3 linked regions of the Lepisosteus oculatus genome follow. The main gene of each other region encodes a partner of the protein of the gene in region 3 in a complex. Links are inferred from orthologs where the notes say so. Each region holds a gene or a part of one and is shown on either strand. Other genes may lie near its edges.

The links.
Region 1: the proteins of plxna2 (region 3) and sema6a are in contact, whole or in part, in a crystal structure (PDB 3AL8), measured with the Mus musculus proteins. The link is inferred for Lepisosteus oculatus from reciprocal best matches to the Homo sapiens genes PLXNA2 and SEMA6A. Residues at the interface, in NP_032908.2 of Mus musculus: Ala93, Cys94, Tyr95, Pro96, Lys155, Gln192, Asp193, Tyr194, Asp220, Phe221, Val222, Pro229, Ser230, Asp231, Leu386, Lys389, Val391, Thr394, Lys395, Ala396, Pro397, Val398, Leu407, Asp408, Ile409, Asn410, Gln411; in NP_061214.2 of Mus musculus: Arg108, Met109, Lys110, Gly111, Met162, Ala163, Thr188, Phe190, Leu191, Ile193, Tyr198, Thr206, Arg208, His212, Asp213, Ser214, Glu219, Gln266, Arg267, Glu270, Lys271, Lys393.
Region 2: the proteins of plxna2 (region 3) and nrp1a are in contact, whole or in part, in a crystal structure (PDB 4GZA), measured with the Mus musculus proteins. The link is inferred for Lepisosteus oculatus from reciprocal best matches to the Homo sapiens genes PLXNA2 and NRP1. Residues at the interface, in NP_032908.2 of Mus musculus: Asp273, Leu274, Phe275, Glu306, Lys341, Gly342, Gln343, Lys344, Gln345, His348, Pro350; in NP_032763.2 of Mus musculus: Glu78, Arg80, Asp81, Lys83, Tyr84, Asp126, Tyr127, Glu128, Thr129.

Annotation. Positions count from the first base shown.
Region 1 is NC_090698.1:53,819,635-53,829,610, reverse strand, and holds the start of sema6a (semaphorin-6A), read right to left. Parts: upstream 4,315-9,976; 5' UTR 3,857-4,314; intron 1-3,856. UniProt on the Homo sapiens protein: Cell surface receptor for PLXNA2 that plays an important role in cell-cell signaling. Required for normal granule cell migration in the developing cerebellum.
Region 2 is NC_090701.1:39,059,876-39,069,674, reverse strand, and holds the start of nrp1a (neuropilin-1a), read right to left. Parts: upstream 4,861-9,799; 5' UTR 4,085-4,860; intron 3,070-4,084; exon of another isoform or gene 2,917-3,069; intron 2,835-2,916; exon of another isoform or gene 2,587-2,834; 5' UTR 2,506-2,586; coding exon 2,433-2,505; intron 1-2,432. UniProt on the Homo sapiens protein: Cell-surface receptor involved in the development of the cardiovascular system, in angiogenesis, in the formation of certain neuronal circuits and in organogenesis outside the nervous system. Mediates the chemorepulsant activity of semaphorins.
Region 3 is NC_090700.1:34,369,688-34,380,077, reverse strand, and holds the start of plxna2 (plexin-A2), read right to left. Parts: upstream 4,769-10,390; 5' UTR 4,213-4,768; intron 1-4,212. UniProt on the Homo sapiens protein: Coreceptor for SEMA3A and SEMA6A. Necessary for signaling by SEMA6A and class 3 semaphorins and subsequent remodeling of the cytoskeleton. Plays a role in axon guidance, invasive growth and cell migration.

The sequences.
Region 1 (9,976 bases), on a different chromosome or scaffold from region 3:
GTGACATAGCACTAAACTGAGGCATACAAAAGACTTTGTGAACAACCAGGTCCCAAAATAAATCACTGTCACAACTACTCATACAGGCGCCACTACTAGGTCCTTTGTACAGGGAACACACCACCTGCAAATTACTTTTAAATCGGTAACAGAAACAGTGGAAGCCATTCGAAGACACAGTTGGATACAATACTATTCAGTCACTAGACCAACACAGTTTACATAAAGGTCTTAGAACAAGCAACTCATGTATTTACCACTTTTATCAAACGTAATCCAATTCATACTACTGTAACAATCACTATGAGACCAAAAGTCAGATACTTATATATCTATATAAGCTAGACCAAAGTAAATGGTTCTTATTCTATATTATCAAAGTAGTTTCTACTACATACTAAATACCTGGACTAATCTAGGATAAATCATAACTTGGATATGAATAAGAACAGCCTTTCAGAAAAAGGAAAGCTTTGATCAGGAAAGTGTTTTTTTTTTTTTGCATTGCAACACTAATATCTCTATTGAAAATGATGGAGTTGAACAGAGTTGCAGATACTTACTCTACAAAAGATCTTTGATAGCTATAAAGTGAAAAAACTTCACACATTTACTCCATATTCAAAGGTTTTCTCAGTTTTGAGGGGAGTGTATGGCAAAGCTTTCTTCATTATAAATTCAGGTTTAACATAAAAAACAGGTTTTCAGGAAAAACACTTGTTCTCATCACAAGGGTTTCAAGTGTAATAAAGTATCCAATTATACATTAAACTTTTAATTATCTGCAATTTCCCTCAGGGGATCAATAAAGTATCTATCAATTCACATATTACTTTGGCTTAATACCTTTTTCCATTGAACAAACAGATTTAAAGATAAACTGCCTTAGTATACTTCTTGTTTTAATGTAAGAGAAACAGAAATGTTCTCTGCACATTGTCGACATTATCAGAAATTCTTTGCCAATATTTAAATTCAATCCTCTGCCCAGCCATTCTTCATTAATTCTAATGAAAAGCCTCCCTAGTCTGGCAGCAAAGGCAGCCATTAATCTTTGAACTGTAAACTACCAGCAAATTCAAGTGTGAGGCCAAAAAACTACTACGTAAACAGACCAAATGGCTTGAGATCCATACAAAAAATATATCAGGCATAATTACGGTGAGATCCATGGGATTTTTTTCACCATAAAATCTTTTATTAAAAAAAACACAATATTGCAAGCTTTTATGCTTTTTGGAGCAAATGATGCCATTGAAAATGACTGCTAAGAGCACTGCCCTGCAATATTTCCAGCCATTCCCAAGGCACCCCAACACTATCTGAGGCTTTGAAACTATGGCAACCGAATAAGAAAGCAGGCTCCATGATTAATAGATGAAGATCCCAGTGACAATCTAGCAAGGCCATAACTCAGGACGAGCACAGATGCGCTTACATCAAACCCAACTCCAAGTGCACTTGCCAGACACTTGAATAAGGACAATGGATTTCCAAGAAATGCATGATCACAAAATAATTTAAGACAAGTGGATGGCTGTCTGCTAATCATCTTGATACAGTACTTCATTTTGTATTTTAATCCCTTTACATAGTATTCTGAAGCTCTAACTTTCTTCTTTTAACACAAAACCTAATTTACAATGCAGATTTCAGTAGGAACTGCTTTTAACTATTTGGTTTCAAGATCTCTTGGGTTAAAGCATTTGAATGCTAACTTTTAAAGTACCCCGAGTTAGAAAGGCACTTTTGAGATGATGCTCATGAAGATCGCACTGGGTAAAAATAACGTGGGAAAAACAGATTCCGTAGCTTTACATTTTTAACATTATCGTCTTTATTGTAAATAGTCGTCGTCGGTTTCCGATTCTCTGTAAGTCATTAAACGGTTAACATGTTACATCAATTCGATAACACATTTCATAAAATAAGTTTTATATGAAACCAACAGAAATGCTGACCTTTTTCAAAGTAACAGATGTAAACCTGAGTGGCATGAATGAATTTACATTGGTTTACAGTTTATAAATACTTTAAGTGAGTAATTTATAATTACATTGCCATTTAACCTGGTGTCTGATCTCTACGCATTATTTACCTATGAAAAAACCCGAGGTAAAACGAACTGTGTTCAGAAAGGTAGTTATCCAAGAAGTATAACTGCAATCAAATCTTTGTTGAACCTATTCTGTTATGCCGTTTCACGTTTTTCACTTCCTTCCCGAAAACGTTCCGTTTTAAGTGCACAAAGATAGAAAGGGGTTTTAAGACTGTAATATAGATATATTTAAATAGCGATGTATTTCAACTGACACAAAAAGGCTGTGATATTACTACACACCTCCCTCGTAGGAAAGGATGCGCTCAGCGCCATGACTTGGTTACAAGGCGGCACACGTATTAGCGGGGGTCAATTTAATCCTAACACCGTTGCTGTCAGCGATTGTGCTCTACCCAGGGGATGTGGTTCATTTTATTCTTCCCCTGCTTACAAATGGCTCAAATTAATGTAACGAAAGAAAAAAACCCGAGACCAGACTGCAAACAGGCACTCGACTAATACTGTATATTTCTACGTTCTTTTTCCAAAGAACTAGTTCCTAAAGCATATGGTATTTTTCGTTTAAACACAAATGCCAACTCCTTAATTATCCACATGGTTTAGTGTTATACTGCACATTGCGACTATACATTGTGACACTATCATAAAAGACTAATGGTTCTGTTTAAAATTTCACGCATTTGAATCCTGACAGCCTCTGCGTGTATTGGGTCCGTGTACCTCTGGGAAGCTGGTGTTTTGTTGGAATATTATTTTACTTTAGTCCCTTAAAACTTCTTAAGGCAAGTGGCATAGTGTTTTGCCCGAACTTCAGAGTTGAATGCCTTGACCTAAAAGGTACGTTTTTTCTCGCCATGTTGGACTTCAGGAAAGCTGCGCTAAACTTTTACAAGTTCTGAAGTTGCTGTAAAATCAATAAATAGCTGAATCTCACAGACTTGCCCAATACGCATAAAATCTCTTCCAGATACAAGGAACCTCGCTTGTAAAATGCACAGTCTGATGTACACAGTATCAATAGCACTGACGCAAACACATTAGCAACTGGTTTAAGACTCCGTGTCACGGATGAAAATCTTCAGGACCACTCAGCGCAGATTACTCTAAATTTTATTTGGAAATATACATAAAACAAGATGAGTTTTGTTGCTCATCTTGTTTCAGGGGCACATAAAGTCACTCCGCTAACATGAGAAATCCCAAGCTTAAGGATTTATTTAAGATCACATATATACGGATACATTTCTGTAAACCAGCAGACGTGAGAACATGTTTCCCTTGAAAGACAAAATTGAGTTTAAGTGGAGATATGTTTTAAATTATTTAGTGTTATATTATGTTTCTGTTAACTTTACGACAGGACTTCACAATTTTATGAAGGCTTCCTAGTAGCTAACACTGCCAAGTTACAAGCTGAGCAGCTCACATTTTTAGATGGGAAATATATCCACAGTAAAACTGTCACTACATGTATTTTACTCTAGCAAAACACGGAGTGGAAAATGTCTCTATATTTAACTAAGGGACTTTGAACATAGAGTGATTACAAAATCAAATAAATATGAAAATAGCTTTGCTTTATACAAAATAAAGGCAGACCATTACAAATAGAATAGTCCCTGAAAACACATTGTTCGAATGAAAGAGAATATGCGATGCAGCCAGCCTTGCTGTACAAGTTGCATATTTGACAACGTCGTGTTAATATGCAAAATAATAATACATACACTTATATATAAGGAAAAAAACAATCCAGAGACACGCATGCAAAGAAACTTAAGAAAAATACTCTACCTCCTGCTCATGAATAGGCAGCAGGCAAGGATAGCAGAACTAGCTGCAAGACCGTCCCGTTAGTAATCCATTTAAGATTTTGCCTGGGCAGTTCCGATTTAAAGTATCTTTGTTCTTCGTATAACTACATGAGTGTTTAAGTAGAATATTTTCTTTTAGAAATCTGTGAAGAGTACGCGCTTTTGTCATACAGACCGTGAGGGAGCTTTGAACAACAACTTTTGTTCTTCAAGCGAGAAAATCCAGAAGAAATCCACTTTCAAAGCCAATGTTGTTTAAATCCTTTAAGGAAACCGAAACAGAATAAATCTTGCCTCCAAGAATTGACCATGTAGTGTCCCGAACCCTGTTCATTCGCAGCAGGCTAGCACACCGCTCCTCACAAAAGCTCCTAGTCATCCTATTTGGAGATGAAGGTTTCTTACTAGCGCACACCGATCCCAGCTGTCACTCGCTACAAATGGGGAGGAGTTAAATTCCAGACTGGATCACAGTCATGTGGATTTGGATTCCTTGTGCTACCGTCCATACAGTATTTACCAAATGTTTACTTGAACGGAACCATAACGTCTATAATTTAAAAAAAAAATAGAAATAGAGAGTGAGTTTTACTTAGCATTACTACTTACATTATTTTTATATGTTCAATAATTCAATGGTTTTTTATAGGTAAACCTTGTTTTACCCTGATGTCCTGGTTGTGTTGTCGTTAAAATGGGTTAATGATGCGTAAAATGCACCTGTCTCACGTGCGCAGTTTCTAGGAAGGAACCAACAATTCAGTAGGAAACTAAAATATCTCCTCTACAGTTTTACACATGGTAAACAATGTGGCTTTATAAGTTTCGTATACTTATTGAAACGAAAAGCAGACGAAATGCAGTTCTAGGCGGCTAAACTGTGGTCTTTTAAACTCTCCTTTGTCATGGAGGAAGAAACCCAACTCCGGTGGGCTGGGATTTTCCAGGCACAGTGTTTCTAATCGCCCTGATCCCCTTAATAGCCAATCAGTTCTGTGAGGGAAGAGGAGAGCAAATCCTTTTAAAGTTGCTGCTTCGGTATTGCGATTTCAGTTGTGCTGAACATGGTTTGTTTTTTGTGCATAAACCCATGTTTCTTAAGGAACTATGTTCTGCTGCTCGTTTAGCACACTGTGCGATATTTGTGGTACAAGAACTCTCGTTCATACAAAATACATCTCCAGAAATCCCTCTCAATTCTTCAAAGTCGCAATTGTAAAGGGATTACCTCTATAGCAATCTATCTATAGGAGTAATGACGAAGCGCACGGATGACAGGCTTGGCAGGCTGTAATACAGACGCACTGTTTTACACGACAGGTGATTTTGTACACAGTGTTGAAGACCGAAATAGTTTATAAATGATTCATTTCTAAAATGATTAATGGGTGAACAGAAAGTGATATTATTAATTTCTAGTCAATTAAAAAATACTCAATTGAAGTAAATAACAATAGTAACTACTTACAAAATTTAATTCAGTTTTCTTATTTTTGCTTATTTTTAGCCAGCAAAAGGTTTGCTAAAAATTGTTTCTACATGATTGTTGTGTCGTAGATGATTAATGGTACCTGGGAGATCATAATATAAGTTGAGATACGTTTTCATCAGGATATCAATTGATTTATAACAAATAACGATTTAATGATTTTTTCAAAACCCCTGTTATATGTACACGTGAGATTATCGTATCACTAATCAGACAAAAACAAACGCGAAACCAATGTAGCCAGGCTGCTTTCTATTTTATGTAATTTCGTTTAAAATGTAATATATAAAGTATAGAATATAACGGGATGTCACATAACCAGCCGTTGCAACTGTAGTCAATCGTGGGTGATTAGGAGATGCAGAAAACTGCGGAAGAAAGTGACATGGATATTAATGTATCCTTCTTCTGTATCCTTATCAATATTTGTAGCTGCAATAAAAAAGTAAACAGAAATCCTGGATACAGTATATAACAGAAAATGTGGAATTTAAATCCAAGGTAGTTATATTTAAGCCTTTTATTAATAAGACTTCATGTAGAACATTATGTTCACTTCTGTTCACCACACCACAAAAAGTACTGTATATTATAGCCTTAGAAGGTGGTCAAAATAAAGACACAAGAATAATTCCTGGTTTCGGGGGTTTGCCAAATACTGGCTATCTAAGGGAGTTAAATATCTTCAGTATAGAACAAGAGGGGTCAAGAAGGCATTTAATTCAAGCATACAAGATTCAAACTGATATAGATAGGTTTAACCATGGGACTGTTTTACAAAATTGGAAACTAAAAGGGAATTTATTCAGGATGGACACTGATTTCTTTACACTGATAATCGTGGGTATCTGGAACAAGCTTCCCAGCCAGGTTCTTGAAGCCAAAACTCTGAGCACTTTTCTGACACAGCTGGACAAAATTTTAGTTTCATTTAGTTACTAAACTAAAAAATGAGATGAAACAAATGGTCATTTGTCGCATGCACTCTTTCTTATGTTCCTATGCAGCATGTCACTGCCACTGGATTAGACAATGTTTCACTTGTTGTAAAGGCCACTTTTTATCTGAAGAATGCACTCTTTATGTACACTGATGGACGGTGAGGGGCATGCATGGGTGGGTAGTGATGTTTGTGAGTCTAGTCTACCTTCACTGGATAGTTATTTATCTAGAGGGCATGTAAATACAGGAACTCATTCACGTGGGTTTTGTACATTCGCGTTTGTATCAAGAGAATGCTTACTATAATAAAACTTCCAGAGCACAGGTTCCAGAACAATGATGATCCTTTAGTCAGCTTCCATACAGTATAGTATTTTTTAAGCAAAAAATTAAAATATGGTTTTGATTATATCTTTTAAAATACATATTCGAATGCACAAAAAAACAATTCTTTATTCTCACAGACTGAATTAAGTATTAAAGACAGATATCACACAGCGTCAATAGAAATTCTGAAGAAAACAGCTTCTGGACAGAATACAGCTGGATTTTCCCCCTTGTTTTGTGCAGTTTGCAAAGGTTGGCTGGTCTCATTTTGTCTGCTGGGGATGGGATTAGTGAGTGCTTCCCCACAAATGTCCTGCTGGACTTAGATCAAGATAAATGCTGCCCACGTCAAGACCTCAAAGTTGTTTTCTTAAAGTCTTGTCATTGTAATCCATTATTAGAAATGATTTCTTCCTGGAATTTCTTGTTTAGTAGCCACTGAAGTAAAATGATTATGCAGATGGATAAGATAGGTTTGACGTTCCTGGGCTGGTGTGCTGACCCACTGCCTTTAAGGATGTGGGCTGTGCCTCACTTTAGCCGGTTTCCTGATTCCTGATTTTTTCTATACACAGCAGCAAAGTTCAGAACATAGGAAAATAAGAAAGGTTAGTTACAAATGAGAAGAGACTATTAAGCCCATTTACTGTAGGTCACTTAAGTCTGAAAATTTCTTCCAGTTGTTTCTTGAAAGAAGCCAATTAGATTACTTCTTTCCAATCCTTCAAAAGTTCCTCTTTGTTCCAATTCTACAGTAGTTCCACTTGTGTCCTCTTTTTACATCTCACTATTGCTTCTGAATAAGTCTGAATAAGTTGGGTTGACTGTCAATATAAAATAATAAGTGTTGGCTAGGTTTGGACACATAACTTTACATTTCACAAAGAATACTATGTGAGACAGACAACAGGAATTAGCAATTAACTTGTATGTATTAAGAAAAAAACATTAGTGCAGGGAGGAAAAGATAATCCCAGGCTGTCTTCCACTATTAGAGAAAACAATACTATTAGATGATGAATCTGTGGGGTTGTGCAGCTGTTGCCTTCAACATATTTTGGTTGAAAAGCAATAAACCAGATTGTGTTGTTATCCGGGATGACATTGTTCTTCATGGAACATCTGATAAAATCTCATTCTTTTTTTTCACAAGTAAATAGATGCAAAAGTAGCCATATTACAGTGGCACAAAGGTTATATTGCTTGCTTATAAAGTATGTCTCTTTCATGTTGGCAAAAGCTCTTCACAATCAAAAACTCAGCCACACACATAAATCTTATTGGATGAAACTTCTCTTGCAGACTCTAAGATTGAATGTGATTATCTGGTATAATCGTACTAGATAAGTACACTGATATTTGACTTATTTACTGCTTAAGTTTTTTTCAACCTACAGAGTGGCTCCACAATGCCTATGACATTCTAAAGTACTTCACATCATTTAGTCTTGAGAGAAAGCTTTAGACCTGTCTTTTAGATTCACTAAATTTCTATCTGCGCTTTTCCTGTCCCACAAACACTTGGCATGAAATAAGGTCTATGGCACATTTTCATGACAGTGCCAGCTCAGTCCAGGGTTTCTAAGCTGTGAACTTCAGCTAGTCTAGAGATCTCTGAAGGCTAGAAACTTTGAAGTTACAGTTCTATGATATGAGTGTAAGGGAAAGAACATTTGTATTAAAAAATGTACACAGCTATGCATAGTCTGGAGATGTTAATGAAAATATGTGTTTTATTAAAAGTACTTGAAAGTAAACATAAGCTTTTATTTTTAATACTTCCTCTATTTGTCTTTCAGTGAATGAGATAACATGCCAATAAAAAAACAAAGATGATTGTGTGTTTAACAGCTACATATATAAATGTATTTTAAAGGATTTATTAAGTGCAACCATGAAAAAATAGTATTTATCTCACAATACATATCTATTTTGTACTGTAATTCATGTTCAGTTCTGGTGTTCTCAATGTCAAGGAAGAAAAGGTCTATGATGATAATTTAATAGCCTGTGTTTTATACAGATTATTAAGAGGTGGATGGCTGCAAAGAAATACATTGATTAATATGCAATAAGCAGTCCTAGTATTATTGTTTGGCAAAGAAAGGCAGATTATTTTGACATCTCATTGCAAAAATGAGTGCACCAATAAAAACTTTCTTAGTAGCGTTGGTGAGTAGTGGATTATAGGGCTAATGAAGACAATTTTAGCTACTAATGCAATGTAAAATTGTTAATGTAATGAAAGGAGCATTTTGGATACCTTCCCTTTTTAATTATGAAAAAAGACATGCTTACAAATGGATCGTCAATAGTTACTCACATCAGCTTACAATATTGTTCCTTATAAAAAGAATGAAGTCAGTTTTCATGTGTTTATCACAGTAAAACAAAACCAAAATAGCTTGGCTGACAGCGAGGAATCTGGCGTCACCAATTATCACTTTGTCTGGAAAACATTTCTCCTCAAGTCTCTACAAAATGTCTCTTCATATCTTAGGTTCTCCAAAATAAATTTACCAAGTAGATAGCACAGTAAAAAGTACTCTGAAACTGAGAAAGACTTAAAAGGGCTCCCAAAATAATTATAAGTCTCAAAAATCTTAAGTTTGTCTGTGTCTGTGACACATTGCTTTTCATCTGGAAAGAGCAGTAAACCTAAACGAAACCTTCCTAGAGTACGTTTTATGCTGGCTTTTCCTAGGACTTTCAGTCGTAACCTTCATTTACATAGTCATAAAAAAATCACAGCGAGTTGCAGCACATGCCCGTTACTGTCAGTTGTGTAGTGTGACACCCCCAGCGACTCAGTCATAGCGCTCTTCATAGCATCTACAAACTGGCTAAATTTTCTTGTAGCGAGTGGCAAGTCATAGGGATGGGCTCTTCTGTCTGCGACAGTCAACAGCCAATGAGTGCACAACCGGAAGTACAGAGCATACAGTGCGACTGTAAGGAAAGAAGGAACTGTGCAAATGGAGGAGGCGCCCGTCGTACTGTGGAGCCAGGACAGATATCTGTTTGATGTTTCGCGTTTGTCGTTTCGTGTTTGTTGTTTGATTACTTTCGTGCGTTGTCCCTCCCCTTATTCTGGTGTGCTCCACGTTGATTGGCTGCCAAAATGAGGCGAGGTACTCCTGCGCTGCAATATGGGATTTGTAACCGTGATGAATCGTGTAATTAGTCACTCCCTGCGATTCCTTGTCGTATAATTTTACTCCATGTAGGACAGAAAATGCAGCGAGATTCAGCAACTGCAGTCGTTAAAATTGACATGCTCTCCGACTAGAAGTCGTATCGAGTCCTGTAGTGTGACGCCAGCTTTAGTGTTACTTAGAACAT
Region 2 (9,799 bases), on a different chromosome or scaffold from region 3:
AGATATCAGCACAAATTAGCGTTTCTTGGGCTTTTCTCCTTATTGAGGCCCATGGATGTCGTATATTTGACCACGGGCGTAGAAGATAATGCCACACATTGCAAAGGAAGGTACTTTCGATCTCCAAGCCACGTCCACCACCCTTTCTGATCACCGGCTTTATGAATGTACAAGTGCTTGGGGAAACTTTTTATCAGCCCAACAGGAACGGTATAAAATCGGCGAAGAGATAAGACTTGCCCTCCTCACAAAACTACATGACGATCTAACTCTTGTTTTAGAGCTTGAATTAGCAAGTGTACAGCATACTCCACTGTACCATGCATACCACTGACGACTTCTACGTTACAATGGACATAACTTCGAACCAAAATCGTGCCAGCTTTAAAAAAAAAAAACAATCGATTTCGTCAGTCCCCGTTTCTGTTGTTAACCACACCTGGTTTATTAAAAATAAAACGTTAACCATACGGGGCAGCATACAAAGGAGCCTGTCACTTCCACCTCGAAAAAGTAATTACACGCGAGACTTCTCAGATTCAAGGTGACTTAATGAAGCAGAAAGCTTTACTTAAAAGATTACGAATCTGGCTATCCAAGCACGAGCACCCAGGGGGTGTAAAGAAGTAAAATTTATTTTTTTATATATCCGCAATGGAAGAATGTAACAGATGTGGTATATATGCTCATATTAACACAAAGGCTTTCAGAATATCGTTCAGCAATATTAAACGCCGCTTCCAATCATTCCTACGGTAAACGAATAGCTGCCTAAAACTAATAACTAAGAATCACGTAGCGAATTTGTCACTTCAATGGGGTACTGCCTGCCGGGGAGGATAGTGTATTATTGAGCTGCTATTGTCCACCGAGCTATATTTTATTCATAACAGATTAGCTGATGAAATGAACTCACCTGCATTCGATGAAAGGAAAAAAAAGCTTTAAAGTGGGCCTTCAGACAGCACATATAAGATGCAATTTAAGCAAACGTTATGATAAAGGACAAGACTGAAAAACTCAATTTGTTACGGGCGGGATAGGCTACAGCAGAGACTATTAACATTCTGACTATAATTGAGCACTGTTATTATACACTTGTAGTTTAAAACGAACTCTTAATGATATCCGAGGACAGAAATCCCTTTAAGTCTTTAAAACTATTAACCTTTGTCTCTTGGTGCTTGGAGTCGTGCTTTTAGAAAGTGACAGAAAAATGGTAAGCGTTAGGTCTCTGTGAAACATCACTAACAGTTGATTAGAAAGAACAACTCCTAATGACTGAGAGCCATTAGCCCAGGACCGGGATAATGAATTAATTTAGCGGGCAGCAGCGTGAGGGGGCTGGACAGTCGCATTAAGGGGGACCCGGGAGCACAAGACAAGGTTAATGTGCTTTAAGGCGACGTTCCGACTTGATAGCCTTTAGTTAACCGAGGCCAGCAGATGGAACAGCACCACTTGCGCCGAAAAGGCCGACAAGTTTTTAAGACAAACGATCCCGTGGTTTGGTTAGTTTCGCTGCTCTGTCAGTAATACAGCTTAACTTTCGTTTTCTTAGCTTGTGGTACATGCACGGTTCTTACTGTAAGTTTAAATCAATTTCACATTTCACAATGACGGGTGAATGCCGTTTTGGTATCGCATCATCCTGGATAAGGGCGTCTGCTTAACAAATAATAGTAGTAGTAACCTTCAAGGAACTTCACGTTACGATGGCTGAAAATAATACGAATAAGGCAAGTTGCTAATAAACGTTTCCTTGATTGTTGAATTAGTGTCTATACCTCTGTGTCTATTATTTAAACATGTATCCAAAATAAAAAATCAGATGTTTGTTAATACTTCTGATTGTAATAATTATGACCACAGTAACAGGATAGATCCCGATATTCATGATTGGTGTGTGGCAAAATCCTAAGTCAAAGTCCTAAGACTCCAGTTGGTTTGACAGATATAGTTGTGTTACACTGGAAAAGTATACTATTTGCTTACGCTTGTGATGCTGCATTCCTTACACAGACATCAGAATTCTGTAGGCTTCCAAAAGGCGTTTTTGGTGACACAAAAATAAATGAACCTCCTCTCCAGGCTACATGACCTATATATATTATAAAGTAGACAGTATCCGTTTAGAAAACAATGCAACCCACAGCTTTTAATGAAAATGAACCCTGTTTGGGCATAGAAAACCACTAAGCACTTAGCTACCACAGAAAAGTTCCGCAAAACTGAAAATGGATCGTTCCTGTATCAAGGGATCAGATACATCGCCTTTAAACTTGGTCACTTGCACTTTCATAAAGGCTTTCGAAATTATTTTTTAATCATGGTTATTCTAGCTTTTACGAACTGTGTTAGTGTGAACGACGTAACTCAAACATACATAACGTTTTAAAAGTCATTCAAGTCAGACATCAGTCTTCGCTTACCAGTTTTGAAAGCTCTGGTAGTTAGGACGATTCCGGTTAAAAGGAGAAACACTAATCCACAATGAATCCTCATGATGAAAGAAAATATATATAAAAAACAGAAAACAGAACTCCTTAATGATCCTTGGTCGGGTATTCTTTCTTCCTGCTTGGCCTGAGCAAAGAAAAGAAAAGAAATGTCTCAACGTTGTAGAAATGCGTCTTTTTGTGTCTCAGGTCGCCTGCATCCTGTCATTTAGCTCTGATTTCCTCTCTCCTTCCCCAGACTTGTCCCTCTCCCGGGCGCTGGCGTTGCCATTTCCTAGTCAAGAAGTCTAAGCCAATAAAACAAACAAAAAAAAAGTCCCGTTTTTTTTTTCCAAACCCCCTTGTAAATGATGAGCAAGCCGAGAAGCAATCCTTCTGCAACAAGAACAAAAAAAAGGTTCGCGATTTAGCGCTGTTCTATCGCAAAGAGCGGAGAGGTTCAGCGAGGCAAACTCACATGTACATCCTCAAATCTGGCAAGACAAACATCTGTACAATGGTATTACCATTATAAGGATTTAAAGCGAGTGATACTCCCCTAAATTAAGAATACTTTTCACCCCCCTTTTACTGCGGTGCACTGGCTGGGCTGTTACAGCTGAATTCCCCCAGCGAATTACTGATTGGTTTGATTACAATATGCAAAACTGACCGGGGCAACCCTCCTCGTTAACAAAGAAAGGGTAGCGGCTGCTTTAAGACGCAGATCCGCTTCTGCAGATACGAGGCAGACACGAAAGTGACAGGACACAGGCGCACTTTCCGTCGATTCGCGTTTTGAAGAGCGTTGCATCCATCTCCTGCGTGTCACGAAACTTGCTAATCAACAAAGCGGGCTACCGTCTTTTAACTCTTTTGACAAGTAACGGATAAGCCTCCCCCCCCCCATTCAACTTTTATCACTGGTCAAATGGATGATTTAAAAACTTCACTAGGCTGGAAAATTTAATATGCGTTTTCTCATATAATAATCCTTAAAGTCTTCAGATACGACATGCATTATGGTCTGCGATCTGTAGTAATTGTTATTTTTCTTTGTTAAAAAAAGGAATGCTTTATATTCGGCGTAAGGAATACGGCCCTTAACGCTATTTAAATTTACAAGACCCAATCTTGAAGTCTTGTAGCGTAAAATTTTAATTCAACGTACTTTTCCACAATATGCTCATCAGTATTATTCTTAATTAGATAGGTTTATGATCGAGTCTATACAATGTCCCTCAATAAAATTCAAGATAAATAGGTCAATGAGTAGATGACTGAAAAATAGTGTTGTAACATTTGTTTTTTTAAAAAAGAGGACATGACACGAAACAAACTAAGGGGCAAGCTACAGCCCATGCTCATTCCGGCACAAGGGTCCGAATTAAGAATGTAAATTAAAAGATTCAATATTCGTAAAGCCAATATATAATCATTATTAGACGTCTTCTGGATATGGAAATAGATAATACGGACTAAACCGAAATACAAATCGATATATTGATGTCCTTTCGCAGAAGAATGTAACCAATTTTCAAAATGTAAAGAAACAGCCGCAGTCACATCAGCAAGCTATCGCTCAGTCCATTGTGCATCTCCATTCATATTGTACAACACTAGAAGCAAGAATAAAACTACTTCACCTGCTCAGGTCTACGAATCAATATCCAGTGTGAGTGTCAACTCGAAGCGGGAACCGTATTAATCGATTTCAGTGCTTGGGACACATAATAAAACAATCCTCCAGAGGGAGCAGATTTAACGAAAATCTAAAAACTCCAAAGGCGGTCAAAAAAAAAAAAGGAGCACAGGAAGGATCTGAAGACGGCGTGAGCCAAGCCACTTCGCCTCTTAAATATTTCCCTTTCTGGCAGGATCAGATAGCGCGGAGTAAAGCTGCTGCGCACAGATACACGCGCGCGCGCCCCACCAGCCGCTGTAGGTGCTGCCGCTGCTCGCCGAGTCTCGCTCAAGAGGCTCTATCGGACTGAGCAGAGGGTCTGCCGAAAGATCCGGCTTCGCATTCCTAATCGCCTCGACGAGGAGTGAAAACTGCCCATTAAAACCAAGCCCCCTCGGAGGGAACTTGAAGAAGAGGGCAGTCGTCGTTGCTTTCTTCCTCCGAAGAATGAAACGAAGTTCTCCTACACGTCATTGCTTTTGTACGATGTGCGAGCGCCGGAAGAGTTCGCGGTGTGTCTGCTGTAGCCGGCTCGGTCACACCCCTTTATGCCGGCTGGGATTGCCTCCGCAAGCCGGGGTCTGACAGCAGGTTTGCCAGACACGCAGCGGTAGCTAGCTGGGTGACATTGGTGCTGCAGTTGTCAAAAATGTCACTGTTTAATTTATGCGCTTCGTGGTTGTTTTTTTTTTTTGCCACATGATAATAATAATAATACTCTCTGAAACTTCATTGTCATTGACTATAGGTCAGCAGTTTCTCATACACGCGTCTCCTTACAAAGGCTGGTGAATGTACAGTTAAATCCTCTGCGCTACGAGTATAACTTCGAGTTCATCAGCAGCGGCTCGTTCCACATTTGTTTTCGCATTTTAGTCCTTCGGAAGCAGTTGTGTGTAAACATGAGACTATGAAAAAAAACCAAATTATTATGTAACCAATGAATAATGTTTAACTCCAGTAGGGATTTCAAGCTTTATTCGGACATAAACTTCCACTACACAGCTTTACAGTTGGTAAAAAGGTATGTCTGTTCCCATTACAATATTTAATGTTTCACACATGCTCCTATCCAAAACAGATATATGTCAGACAAGACAGATGAAAAGTATTCAAAGAGTAAAACAGACCCAAGTATTTCATGATTGTAGAAGAATTGCGGACTCCTTGGTTTACTCAACTACCTTAACAGTGACAAAAGAGTTTGATCGAAGTTGGATATTAGATTGATGCAAGTGCCGCAGTCTTTAAGATTTTAGCACTGTGAAAACAGGAATCTGACCCATATCTGTACCATTAGCGAACTTTGGTTTTCAGTTAAGCAGTGCGCTGTTACGGATCTTATTTTCCTGGTATACGTGGACATACGATTATTGCATTTAAGTATGAATAATGAAATTCCAACACAGGCAATAAAATTATATGGTAGACAATGCAGTTGTTTTTATGATCGGGCTTTAGTTAGCTGCTTAAGAGTTTTGTATAATTATTTAAGGAAAGCACACAATTACAGCAACACGCTTCAAAATTACAACAGCAGCACAAAAAACCGCCTCAACGCTACATCTGATAGCGTCAATCATTCAGGTTGAACAAGGGTCTGATTGCAACGTTTTGAAAGCATTTATCGCACATATCCACAAAAGCTTCCTAACAAGCCTTGCATTCATTATACAGTACGTAGTCTAATGCTTATGGTAACAATGGAAAGACCTGCATGAGACATGAACAGCAGAATTAAAATGAAATTCAGTCGCAGTCGTCGAGGTACATTTCAAGTGAAAATGTTTCTCAAATGAAATAGATTTCGACAGACACACACACAGACAAAACCATTTACATTCCATAAAAATTATGCGCGTTTCTATTCCCTGCTTTCTGGACACACCAGGGTAGATCCTAAAGATGAAAAGCCTGAGTTCCGTGGGTGCCCTGGAGACACCCCCTAGCCAGAGAGAGCAACATCCAGCCGGTAAAGATAAACTAACCAGACATCCTGACAGCATTCCAAACACAGCACAAACACAATTAAGGGAGTCATACAGGAATACCTCAATAGTAAACTTTACCTTTTAGACAAATAATAGAAATACAAAAGGTGATGTCATTCAGTAGGACTGGAAGACAACTTTTGTTTTCAGGAATATTGAGGCAAGATGTGTCAGACAAACACCCAGACAAAATGTTCAATTTGTCCAGTTGAATAAATATTTTTTTTCAATTTATTATGCATCTGACAGCTCAAAGGAGTTACAAACAGGCCCATCTGCCATTATTGACAATGTTGTCTGTCTTTAGAATGTAAAATTCATTGAAAACACAGAATATTCTTACAGAGCACTGAAAAAGGCACAAGACCAATGTCATCTTTGAGGACAAATGATACTTCTATATATTTCTATCCTCTTAGTGGAACTTGCAAGTAAGCTTTAATGGTCTATAGGTGTCTTCATTTTCAGAGGATATCTCCGAAGATTTGTTATACTTACAGGTGGCATTCCAGACTATTCTGAAAGTGCTTTAAACTGCTTTTGAAATGACAATCTCTGCGGACGAGTGTAGATTTTCAATTATTTTATCTGTGAGTTCCAAATCAACATGACGTCTCATGTTTCTTCGTGGGTAGAAGTTGAAAATATCCTTGTAAAATACTGTCAAAATCAGCCAGCAAGACTAAATCAGTTCATCTGATTTAGGTCTATTCAAGTGCTATGCACTAGTTCTGTAATGTCAAAGGACATGTTTTTTTTTAGCACAATACCTCTATTAAAATGTGATCAGCTGTGACTACTTATTATCTTAAATATCGGTGGAATAAAGTCTCCATTAACTATTGTTCTCATTTTTCCATTGCTTTTTTGTTGATTAATGATAATCCAAGAGGACTAAATATATCCTCATACAATAGTATTAATAAAGAGAAAAATATTTACTGTGTTTTTCTGTCAAAGCAGATGGTTATGTTTATGTCAGATATCATTCCATGAAAACAGAAACAAATATATTTTAAGTCCTCAACAGACACATTTAAAATCCAAAACAGTGCTAACCAAACACTCCAAATACTATTATTAGTTTTGTATTTGCCAAATCAAGTTAGGTCTGTGGAACACACGGTAATCCAACAGATTGAATATTTAATTCAGAATAATTTTGCATTCTCTAGGCAGGAGAAACATTAATTTAACAGACTGTAACATACTTCTTCAAATTAATCTATTCTTAACAAAATAATGACTTTTCAGGAAATCCATTTTCACATGACTTTGGACTTTTTGGTTGCTAATATTAAAAAGCCTATACGTGAACAATAGGATTGACTAAGTGTAAATTGACTTGCAACTGCTGTATCTGAAGGAACCAGAATTGTGACTGAACAGTGAAAGAGCCATTTAAAGGATTTGCTTAGACAAAATACTATCATGTTGAATAAGACCCTAAAGAATGATTAGTGGCACACAAAGGTAGACAATTCTTGAAAGTATGGTTTGAATGATTTCAATGTAATTATTTTCATGTAACCACCCCCTGTTAACATCACAGACACTAATGTACACTCTTAAAAGTTAAGAGGACAAAGAAGTTTGTGTTATTAAAAAGAAACTTTACAAAAAGGTAATTAAAACCTTGTAAAAGACGTTATATGAATAATCAATATTACATTCAACTACACTTAATTTAAAACAACATAATTAAGACTGAGGGTATTTGGATTGTGCCCCAACCAATGAATATGTCACACCTGTCCTCACATTACTCCTATAACGCAGAACTTACATTATACTGTTCTAAGGTTTGTTTGTTTTGTCTTGTTCATTCATTTCTGTACTTTTTTTCTTTTGAATTGCTTAATATTACACGGTTTACATGACCTTCAAGGATTGTTCCTGTATAACTTCACCTTTCATTGCATCATAAATACACACAAGAAATGAGTGTTTGCACATTACACTACTTTCAAGAAGCTAAGCTTAATTTGCATTGGCGGATAATCATCTTTTTTGACACAGTGTTAGAGTGTTCCATTAGCCCAAATGGAAATTCAAAGGAAACCTGTCAAAAGGGTCAAAGCATTCCTCTGAACAATAGAGGCTCTTAAGAGATAGCTAAATATATGATCCAAAAGAGGAGGTGTGCATGGTTGAGCCAGATGTTTGTATATACCTTCAATGCTCTGTAATAAACTATTCTCTATAAATGGCAATTGCCATTGACAATGTTAAAGATTTGATACCAAAAGAAGTCATACATGTAACCTTGCTAAGTGAGGTTCAAGTGGAGAGCTGTGTCATTGTGTGTTGGCTGCAAAAGACCAATAGAATGTAATTCCATGCTGAAATAATAGAAAGGAGAAACACAACAGCCAAAAACAAGATTTGAAACCTGTTTTTTCTTCTTTTCAGTGTGGAATTTACCGCTACCTTGCAATGTGATAAAGTTCACATACAGGTTCAAAGTTCTCTGCTTTTAAAGACAAAAAAAAGAAGAAATATATTTAGAAAAACAAAACAAGGAAATAATATTATATTATAGAGCACCTTACTCTTAAAAGCACTGTGAGATTATTCATGTCTCTGTCAAGATCTGTATTTTATGTACATTGGTAATTAAGCATTCATTTTTTTGCATTTGAATGTGTTCTAAAAGACTTGAGCACATCAACTATTATATCTAGCTTCAGTACTGCTAGCCTTATATACTGGTAGGTTTACAGGCGTGCAAGCTAAAATTCCCCTCTATTCATGTACACATTGGGGATTTGACTAGACTGGGGTCAGGAGAAGTACTGCCTGAAGCAATCTATCTCCAGTGAGATTTCAGTGAGGTGAAATGAAATGTGAATGGAATTAATAGATGAAAAAAAACACGTTTGTAGTAATTATGAGAGAAAGGAAAACAAACACAAATGTAAAGTGTTTTTGTACAGTTTTGGTGTGACAACTACAGCAGTGTTGGAGCTCAGTGAAAAGAAAAGATGCACAAATGAAAATCAGGCTTTAATTAGGAAATAAACAAGTGACAGTGACATTTAGTGAAGTGGTTAGGAACTATACATAAATATGCATAACAGCAAGAAAAAATATTTAAAGATTCTCTAGGGACACAAGGAAGACTGATGGATCCTGAATTAATAATGAGTGAGGGATTCTATGAGTATGTTTTCTGGGTTCTAATTAGGACTGCAATTTAAACATCTCTAACGTAATACATTTGCAGCACAAGCATTTTGTATTACAAAACTTACAAAACCAAGCTGCTGATTTCAAGATGCCAAATTTTATACTGCCCTTATTATTTAAATTAGGACTGTCAAAACAGAATAAATCCTCCATTTGTAGAGGAAACCAGAAGATCAGACAAGTGGTTAATTGTAAATATATATACCACTGAAAAGTTTCACTTTTGTTAAGTAAAGTTTCACTCTTTATTAATGCAATAATCCTCAAGCTTCCACTAAGAAACTGGATCCTCTAAGGGAAAAAAATCTCTATATTTATGTGTGCCACAAGTAACACAGAAAGGCAAATGTCTGAGGGAAAATTTAATAAACTGGGACAGAATTGGATAACTCACCAGCAATAGAAATGTGAACACTTAGAGTTAAGTTTTCGCAATTAGACATAATGTGCAGAAAGGCAAGGAAAGGCATGTAAGCATTTGAACTACAGTTCAGGTC
Region 3 (10,390 bases):
CAAGTCTGTTGTTTTTGGCTTTCTGATTTAATGTCCAGCTGCTCCAATGGTCAAACGATTCAACAACAAAATGAATTTAGATTACTGGACAAAGAAGCACAGGGGGTGACTGCAGCCTGAGGTACAGGGGCTGACAGAAGTACAGAGGTATGACCTAGAGCTGCAGCTGTCAGACCAAGGATTTTGCTGGTGCACTTAACAGGGAAAAATGCATGCAAACACTGAACTGCAAGAAATACTTCAGTTGTGTACTGTGCTAACTCTGGCTGGTTTTCTGATCTTTGCCTATATTTTTCCTGAATTATTTTGTCTATTTGTTGCTTCCTGGAGACTACAAATTTTAAATAATGAACAACACACATAAAACAAAGATGATGGCCAAATCTAGTAATAGTTTACAAAACAGGCTATTCAAATAACGGTTATATTTCCCTACTGGATTCAGACAGCAAGACTACTGCAAAAGTTGACAAACCAGAATGTCTTTCCATTCAAAATTCAAATACATCAACAGCATGAAACTACAAAAACTTGAGATATCCATAAAAATTTTAAAAATCAGCATCCATAGTCCAGAGTATGTTATTTATGTAAGATAGGTTAGCATGTGATAGGTAATTCACTTAAATCAAGCAGTCAGTTGAGGAAAAATCTTAAGATTCTTCTATATATGGAGGAGGAAATACTCTGGTAGTTCAAATTTATGGTTTATGCCTGGGGGAAAGAGGTTTTGTAAATTTGCTAAAGCACCACCCCCCAAAACAAAAAATACACATGCCACTGGAAATCAGGAAAGTGGACAGACAAATACCACAATATAACACAGCTAAATTACCCAGCTGGAAACAGTTAATGTAATGAACTGCCATAAGCAAATCAATAGATTAAGATCAAGGCACTGTAGGCAAAATCCTTTTAACCAGGGGCGACCATCTGAACAGAAACCAAAGCAACTGGTCGACACGATAAGGATGTAACTGCTCAAAAGAGTAGGTAGGAACTCATTTGGTTTGCATGAGTTTAAGTACCAAATAATACAGAAAAATGGCTACAGGACGGAGTAGCTGTATGCTTATAGTCTCTATTGTCTCAATTTTCTTCAGCTTTGTATCATTAACCGTATTGATTAAACAGTCTGCAGTCTTAAGATCCAGAACTGCTCCTGATCCAGCCTATTTTCTTCTCTCTTCTAAGAACTGATCCTTTAAAGAAACAACTTCCAGCAGAATGGCAGACTGATATCATTGTTGAGGGCTGGGCTATGAAGCATTTAAGGAACCACACAGACAATTTATTGCACAGTACACAAGGATGTACAGTAAGCGTGCTAAACACAGCACTGATCCGCACTTTCTAGCACTTGCTGAGGGGAACAAGCGAAAACCCGAAGAATTATAAATGTCAAGTAATGGCTGTCGAGCAACTGAACTTAAAATATTTTTTTTAATGATACTTTTGAATAGAAGGATTCCAGTAAAGAAAATTAGATTCAGTTGCTTTGGTTTACTAGATACCATACCCCTTTTACTGTATCATTTGTGGCCGTCTTGAGTCAACATATAAAAAAGAGGATGTTTGTTTTGCAGTGCTGTGGTTTGTGCCCATAAAGAGCTCACATAGTACTGCAACATACAGAGCCTTCTAATTTACAGCTCCTTTAAAAAGTGCAGAAGTCAGTCTGTGACACCAATAAACTGAGAGTCTACATGAAGAGTGAATCAATTTATTAACTCTCCTAGGCATTACTGGCGAGGTGAGAAAACACAGCCATACTGTACCTTCAAAGAAAAAAAGTCATAAAAAATGAATAAAAGTAAAGAAAACTCAGGATAAGATTAAATTTTAATCTGCGTTTGCCTTGTGTACACTCAGAAATACGAGGGCAAAAGTGCACTAAGAATTAGGAAAAAAGAGAGTAAAATATAAAAATGATTTATTCCTTAAATTAGTGATCTTCTTTAACAAGCTACAAACTTCAATTGCACAGTGCGCTGTTCAGAGCGTGTGCTTCGCGTGCACATACTGTACTATGCAGTAAAGTAACACATAATACAGTACAACAATATAAATTTAAGGCAAGCAGATCAATTTTAAATATATTTTTTATTCCGTGTCCAAATCTGAGTGATATGGTTTCTGCAATAATGTCATGTTCAATATTCAAACACAGCAGTGTCATGTATGATGCACTGCGGAGTCAAAAGCTTTCTTTGATATTTACTCCTGTAAGATCTAAAGCTCAAAGAAGTGTCCCACCGATGTTCTGATAAGTCTATGTTATCTGGCTTAGACTTTAGAGCTTTTTTAAAATGGAATAAAGTGGAGTTTTTTCTAGAGATTTTGGACTAAAGAAGTTTCAGACTTCAAAGTTTTTGTGTGTCTGTGATAAAATATGCTATTGGCATGTGGTTTGCCCATTCTTGTAACCCAGCAATTTTCACTCAATTTTTGTGAGTCAATGGTCGAAGGTCAAAATGTTGTTTAACGATGCAAATGGATATTTAAATAATTATGTGCAGAGGTCATGCATTGTATAAAAAATTATCTTAGTAAATCTTTGTTAAGATAAAGGGGTTTATTATACAAACTGCACACTTATTGTGCACTCTTCTAATCACAGCAGATGGAAGTTGTTTTAATGCAAATGCCAAGCAATTTTCTCCTTAAACTGCATTTATTATCTACAGAGCTTGTGTCAAACACGACTTGCAACCTAACTACTCCATACAGGAAAATGAAGATTTGTGGGTACATCTGCTATTTCACTGTCACCGACAGATGAGATGAACGGTCCTGAAACAGAGGAGCTGGAACTCTGAATGATTCCAGTTGGCAACAATACATCAGATTCCATTTGCAAAAAGGGAATCACATCATACCCTACAGAGTCTGGGACCAAAAGACAACACACAGGACTTTGTTTATCGCTGGGATCAGGTGTAAGGGGGAAACATAATCAATTCATAGAAGAACCAAAGATAAATTATATCAGCTCTTTTGACGGTGATTATGTGTCCTTGTTATGCAGTGTTGCCTTCATCTTTAACCACAAAATATCCAGGGAATCTAATTTGGGGTCTTAATTCAAAGAATCAAGATGATTACATCTCCAGTTGATTCACTGGAACCAATAGCCAAAATCAAATCTTGTGTTTACAGTATACAACAGATAGGCATTATTTCAGGTTGTGTTAAAAAATAGCCGGACCGCTCCTTTCACGATTTCAGAAATTGGTTGTACAACAGGCAGAACTATCCTATCTCAGAAAACAATCCGAATCCTAAACCTTTCTACACCAAATAACGTGAACAGTTCAGCCAGGTACTTCACTGCCTCGAAGCACCTTACTGGTTTGAAGAGCAGATTCTCAGTCAAGGTTATATTAATGCCTCGTGGTATTACATTACTTCCGACAGAGTCTTAATATTTAGCAGAAAATAAATATCATGTTAACAAAATAGCATGTAATGTTACTAACTCAGCCAATAAATAATTGAGTGAAATATTTCCACAGTACAACGCGAATCCTTAATTCGCGCAGACAGGCATTTCTAAGAAAGAACAATGCCATCTGAAAACCGTGTTACTGTACAGGCAGATAAGCGAGTATACACTCACGTGTAAAATGTAAAATGTAACGAATAATAAATAAGAGTTGGTCTTTAAAACATTGGGGTTTCCTTCTTGTCAAAACCATGAACATGATCACATGTGGGTATCTACACTACATTCTGAATAAATTCTTAATTACATTCTGTATTCCGGACAGTTTTAAAGAAAATGTATTATAAAGAAAAAATAAAATTTGCCACAGCATCATACTAAGTATAAAGACTACAAAGCGTTGAGAAAATGACAAAAAAAATAAGACACAATCCCGTTAACAGAGAGTTTTAGAAAATCATTTCAACTGGAATGCCAAAATGTTACTGTAAGTGCTTAAAATATTTCAAAAGCTCCCCCTGTTCTTGGTATAATAAACTCCATGCACCATCAACATGTCACATCGGAGGAATTTAGTTTGTTGCCGTATTGTTAGTAAAAATATTAAGTCAAAATGTGGGTTTTGGAACAGTTATTTACCGTACAGTAAGTGAAGCACGATAATATTTAACATGACTAAACCAAAATGCTTAAGTACTAGAGGCTAAATTCATTCTTGTTTTATACTACCGGCACATGCGATGTGTCCACTGGTTCAAAACACTCACCATTCAGCATCAAGATGGGCTTGCGTTTCTTTCTTAAATCAGTCAATTTACGTTGTGCGGCTTTCTTCCTCTCCTCCAAAAAATGCCCGTTTCCTAGTTAATTCCACACCGAAGTGCTCAGAATCCCACGGTAAGTCAGCTAGCTGTCAGGTATGGACGGAACACGGCACGTTCGTGCACAATGTATTCCTTCAGAATTCGTGGAAAATCTTGGCAAAGCAACGCTGGTTCATTCATTCAGCTCCAGCACACCAATAACTGTGCCTCGCGCTTGCTTGCTCGCTTTAGGATTATATATTGATATTGGCATTTAAGCATGTTCCTTATTGTCAATTGTCATTCAAAAGACTTGTAATGGTTATTTGCAGGAGGCGGGCTGTGAGGTTGAACATTCCTTCAGTTTAGAAGACAGTCCCTTCTAATTTCGCCTTTATTTTGCCTTGCCATCGTACGTTTTCCTTGGTATGGGTTACAACCTCCCTGCAGAAATTCACACACACATATTCCCCCCTCTCCGCCGAGCTTTAATGCTAGACTGGCACAGTGCTAGCCGAACCACGGGCAGCACACAGTACTCTACTCACAGCACAGCGTCAGACCCAACCCCCTGTCTTCTCTTAGCATACGGACTCATTTGCATGCAGTCTATTAACCGTTTCGGGGACCAGCGCCGCTGCTATCCTTTTCATTTGATATTATTAATTCCCAGTTTTTTTTTTCCCAAAAGCGGCACCACATCAAAAACTAGTAGTAAGGCGTTTTTCTCGCCTGCTAATGCAACTGTTAACCGGGGTATCTCGGCATTACCGCTGCTTCTAATATAACTTCCGAAATGTACCATTAGTTTAAGGATAATTTCACTGATTTCGCTTCGCAAAGGACAGCTAACGGCTCAGCCGACGCATGGGCATGTTCATGCTGTTTCACACATTCATCTCTGCGTTTCAGGGTTATCTCACCCCTAGCGAAATTACATCCACTGTAGCCTAAAATTTACCCTTTTCATAAAGCTTTAAAGTTTCGGCTGTCATACTGCTACCTTAACCCCAGAGCTAACAGCGAACATTCTGAAAAGGTATTGGATTCTCAGGGCTGAAACTCCATTATTATTATTATTATTATTATTATTATTATTATTATTATTATTATTATTATTATTATTATTACAGCTGTAGGAAGCAGTTCTCCTGTGCTTATTGCTTCTCACAGTAAACTAACTCGACTCCTTTAGCTTCTTTTTTCTTGCTGTTCACCGATCAAGATAAAAGAAATGTATAGCCTGGAGCCTGCCCGTTCTTCACTAGTAGCCTATAGCGTTCTTCGCGATGTGGACCACTGATGTCGCTGCGAAGGGTGAAAAAGGAATGATAGAATGTGTATTTTAAAAGGTCTCCTGTCTAAGATACTTAAAATAAACTCGAATCATTCTCTGGCTCCATTGACGCTAGTAAGAGGCAAAGAAATGAGTTTAACCCCATTACAAGATAACTTTCTGACAGGCAGTTTGCAGGAATTTTAACTGCAACGCCAACCAGTATATTCTTTACTATCTCTATTATTCAATCTGTCTTGAGTAAAGAGTAAGAAATAAGTTGTGCTACATAATTTCATGACGCTTTTTATTTCTGATAAGAAAATAACATACAGTGTAATTCCAACTTAATGCACATGTAAGAGTGGTCCTCTAAAAATAGCACAACTGCTTTTCCGCAAACAACGAATCAGACACTCAGAGAACATTAATATACAGTAATATATGTCAGATTAATTTCCACTTCCTGTCATAATTCACTTTTCTTATATCATTAATGTGATGTGTTTAGACAGTAAGAATATACAGTACTTTCGTACAAATAATTTGGACCCCCATCACCAACAATTTCACAAATTTGCGGTATATGTAATATAATAATAGTACTGTATGTGAATTCGATCGTCCAATCAAGTCGTGTCCGTTAGGATTTACGGTGAATTTACGAATGTAATGCAAATGTTTCTATAGATTCTAGAGTAGCTACAGAAACGTATTCACATTCATACAGTATATACTGTACATATCTGTGTATGGTCATATGCAAAACACCCCCAGATGTAAAGGTACTGTGTAATATATTGGATCTTTCACCTATATTCACTGAAGAACTTTAATAGTAAAGATTTTAACTGAAATTTAAAGTATGTTCTTTGATGACATGACTTTAAACTTTGAGGAAAAAAAAACATATAAAATAGGCTACCAATGCTTCAGTTGCTTGTAAGAGACCAGTAACAATGGAATGCACATTTCAAGATTTTGAAGACGCGTGGAATCGAGTGATGATTTAAAAATAAATGTTCCTTTGATTAGATTATCTAGCAAAACACAATTCTACTACATAATTCTAAAAAGCGACTTTAGCAACGAGTTTATCATAAAGGAACAGCGTTTAAAGGTGCTTGTATTAGCATACATTACCCAACAACTGGATGCGCTCTTTGTCGCCAGTACTGCGCTGTATTCTCTGTGCCTAAGAGCTGAGCCTCATCTGAAAACTATCGAAATGGTGCCACCTATGGGCGGAATGTAAGAATTGCACGTTTGTTAATCGTAAATCGTACTACTATTGTGGTCCTTATGAGGAGAACGGGATTATTATAGGAAAGAAGGTCTCTCTCTCTATCCATCTACGTTTGTCTGCTGCACTGTAGATGGATACTAATAAACATAACTGTATGTGAACTTCTAGACTAATATCTACAAAATAACTAAAGTGAAGGTGGAATTATAAACATGAGAAAATATAACTAAACAAAAGGTATATTACTTGATCATAACTGCATGGTGCTTTTCAAAGACCCCAAAAGGATTTACATAAGGATGGTGATCCGCTGAAGTGCACGTGGCTGGTGCACAACAATCCCACTACACAACAGATATGGTCAAGAACCGAGAAATTATGTCACTAATAGGGAGGTCAGATTATTTAACTCCAAATTGGAGTTTAGTCAAGACACCGCAGTTAACACCCATACTCGTACAGAAATGGTATTGGCTCTTTAATAATTAATTTATGGAAGTCAGGAGCTCAATTTAACATCTCATCCAATGGGGAAGAGTAAGGAATGAATAACGTACCTGAAGAAGGCTCCACTGCCTGAAACGTTGTGTTTTCTTTCCTCTCATTTCAGCATGGAATAAACCTATTACTTGTTCCTTTGCAGCTTACGCATGCTGATGCAGCTACCCACCTGAACTACTTCTACCTATAGTGTGTTGTACTCCATTATGTTCCAAAACATTAGGCATTCAATTCAACTAAATTATCAAAATATGGTCTGAAAAGCATTTAATCCACTTCTCTTTCCCAATTTTATAGATAAATTTAGGAAGCAGTGGTAAGGGTTCTGAGCCTAAGAGCTGGTAGGTTATCTGTTCAAATCCCAGGTGAGACACTGTTGTTGTACTGTTCAGCGAGGCGCTTTACCAGACTTGCTCCATTAAAATACACATCTGTAAAAATGGGTGCAAATATAAATTGCTAAAGATTAAAGTATCAGCCAAATAAATTAATAATCATAATTAGTGATAATGAAGTTGTACTGTAAGAATCTTCCACACATTCCTGGCTGTTCAGACACACCTGTCTGCACACAGAGGCTTAATGATCTAACTGCTGCTAATGAGTAATTTGATCTTACCTAGATTAAAGAGTCTTCTGAAACACAGTTTAAATTTTGTGATCTGGTGTAATGTGAGCTTTTCCTGTTTTAAGATTAGGGCAATGAGTCATGAAAGAATTTTGAAGTTGTTCAAAACTTGGAGACTTAACATCCTGAGTGAACTGAGGCACCGAAGTGGTTAAAACTGTACACACTTTGTAGATTAAACAGACAGTAATGTAATATCGCATTTGAAACGGATCGCAATGGGTACTATCAAGCCCTGCTCAGATTTAATGAGATTTTTTTAAAACATGGCTACAGTCCATATTTCCTGTGAGATAATAATAAAGGTCCAAACAAATACCACATAAAAACGAAACATCTATCTCATTTCTTTCACTGAAAATATTGGTTTCTGTCACTCATTAAGTGTAGCCTGCCACTGTAGTTCCAAACCACAGTTATATTAAACTGGGAATACTGTCTCTTGTTAGGAACAACTCCAGTTTAAAATTAAATGTATGCTGAGAACAAAGGGGAACTGGTTTTGTTGTTTGCTTTACAAATCCTAACCCAGACAATGCAAATGCATTTAACAGAAAATTAGTTTTTTTTCAATTGACAGGACAGTTAAAACCCATCACAATCTCCAAGAGCCAGTCCTACCCCAAAAGTGTACAGAACTGTTAGAATCAGGGCATGCAGAGAGGCCTGATTCTTTTAGTACATTTAGCACTGCAAGAGATTTAGACACAGCATTGTTTCTGACAATGTGCTGGGTTTGTTGCATGAGAACTCAAACAACGAAGGCTTGTACTTCTTAATGTAAATTGAGAAATTTGTAAGAATTGTAATTGCAAGAATTAGGAGAATGTTCTTGTCAGTTCTATAAATGTGACCTCGAAAGGGCCATTTAAACTTCACAATGTGATGTGGTGGTGGGTTTTGTGTTGTGATGCCAGACCTTAACTTTGAAAAGACACCATGTCATTCTTCAAGGTGGATCCCACAGTTTGCCTACGGTGTTTTGAGCCGTGTAAACTAATTTGACTGGTTTCAACAATGCCTGGACAACATGCACAAGAGGAAGGTCTTCGTATGCATTATGTAAGCTAAAAACATTCCAAAGGTCACCAGTCACTGGAGCACAACTGACTGATTGGGTCAATGCAAAATATGCTACATATTTTTCCATCCAGAACAAATTAAAACAACCTGGAAAGAAACTGATGAAACGGGCTAAATTAACTTTTTTTTTTCAGGATCTACAACACACCGATGAGGACATGGTATACTGAAGAACCCTTCATCATTCTTGACAACTCAAAATCTTTTAGTGGCAGAGCCCTTCTATACATATGTACATATGTACAGATGCACCTAAATTACACCTAAATGAGATTGGAATCGCAGAAACAGAGCTAATAGAAAATGATGGAGATGAATGTAGTATTATGGATAGAAGAGTGGAGGTGCAGTATTATGTATAAAAAAGAGTATTCTTGTCAGGAGCTAAAGCTAGGGGAATCAAGAGTCTCGGAACCTACAATTTCCAGAGGTATAGTTCTAGGAGTATGCAATAGACCACCAAATGCAGATATTGATTACAGTTCAATACTGTATAATGAAATTAAGAATCAACATGTTAAAGAAGAAGTTGTTTTAATGGAAGACCTCAACTTTTGCCACATACTGTAGACTGGTGAAAACCTATAGAAATGTCAGCAGCTGAAAGTGAAATGGTAGACTTGGTAATGTTTTCTTACTCAGTTTGCTGGACTGCCTAGGAAAGGAAATGCTTGTACATACTGTATATATATATTGTCTTTTCAAACAATCAAGACTGAACAAATCATACTCAAGGAATCAATATATTTCATTCAGAAGCCATTAATGCAACTCTCCCAATATTTACCCCAAGACAACAGTTGTCCCAAGACAGGAGTCATACCTGATTGTAGTAGAATTGCTAATGTAGCCTCCATCCATAAAATGCATGAGAAAACTGAATCAAGTAATTATAAGTAAATTGATGTCAGGCATTTATTAAATGTAAGGTTATTCAAAAGATTATTAGAGTTAAACCTGAGGATCACCTGTATGGAAATAGTATCAACAATTTGAAAAGTTTTATAAACGATTGGACTCAATTTGTTAGAATTATTTGAACAAGCAATAATAATGGATACACAGAGCAAATTACAGTTTAGATTGAAAATTCATCAATACATAGAACAACAGATGGTTACCCTGGCTGACTGAAGCTCATTCTCCAGATCCTGGTGTATCTAAGACATATTTCTGGTTCACAAGGAGTATCAGCACACACCAATTTAACATGTTTCTGGATGTTTGTTGAATTTGGCTTATATGGCTTGGCTGAGGGACCAAAGAACAAGGAACCTAGGACCCCAAAGAATTAAAAAAGCGGAACCCCAAAACCACCAATGTACAGTAGAATGGAAGATCAGAAATTTGCAGGCAACAGGAAAATAATGTCAAGAACAATTGGACTCTTCTAAATGCTCATATATAC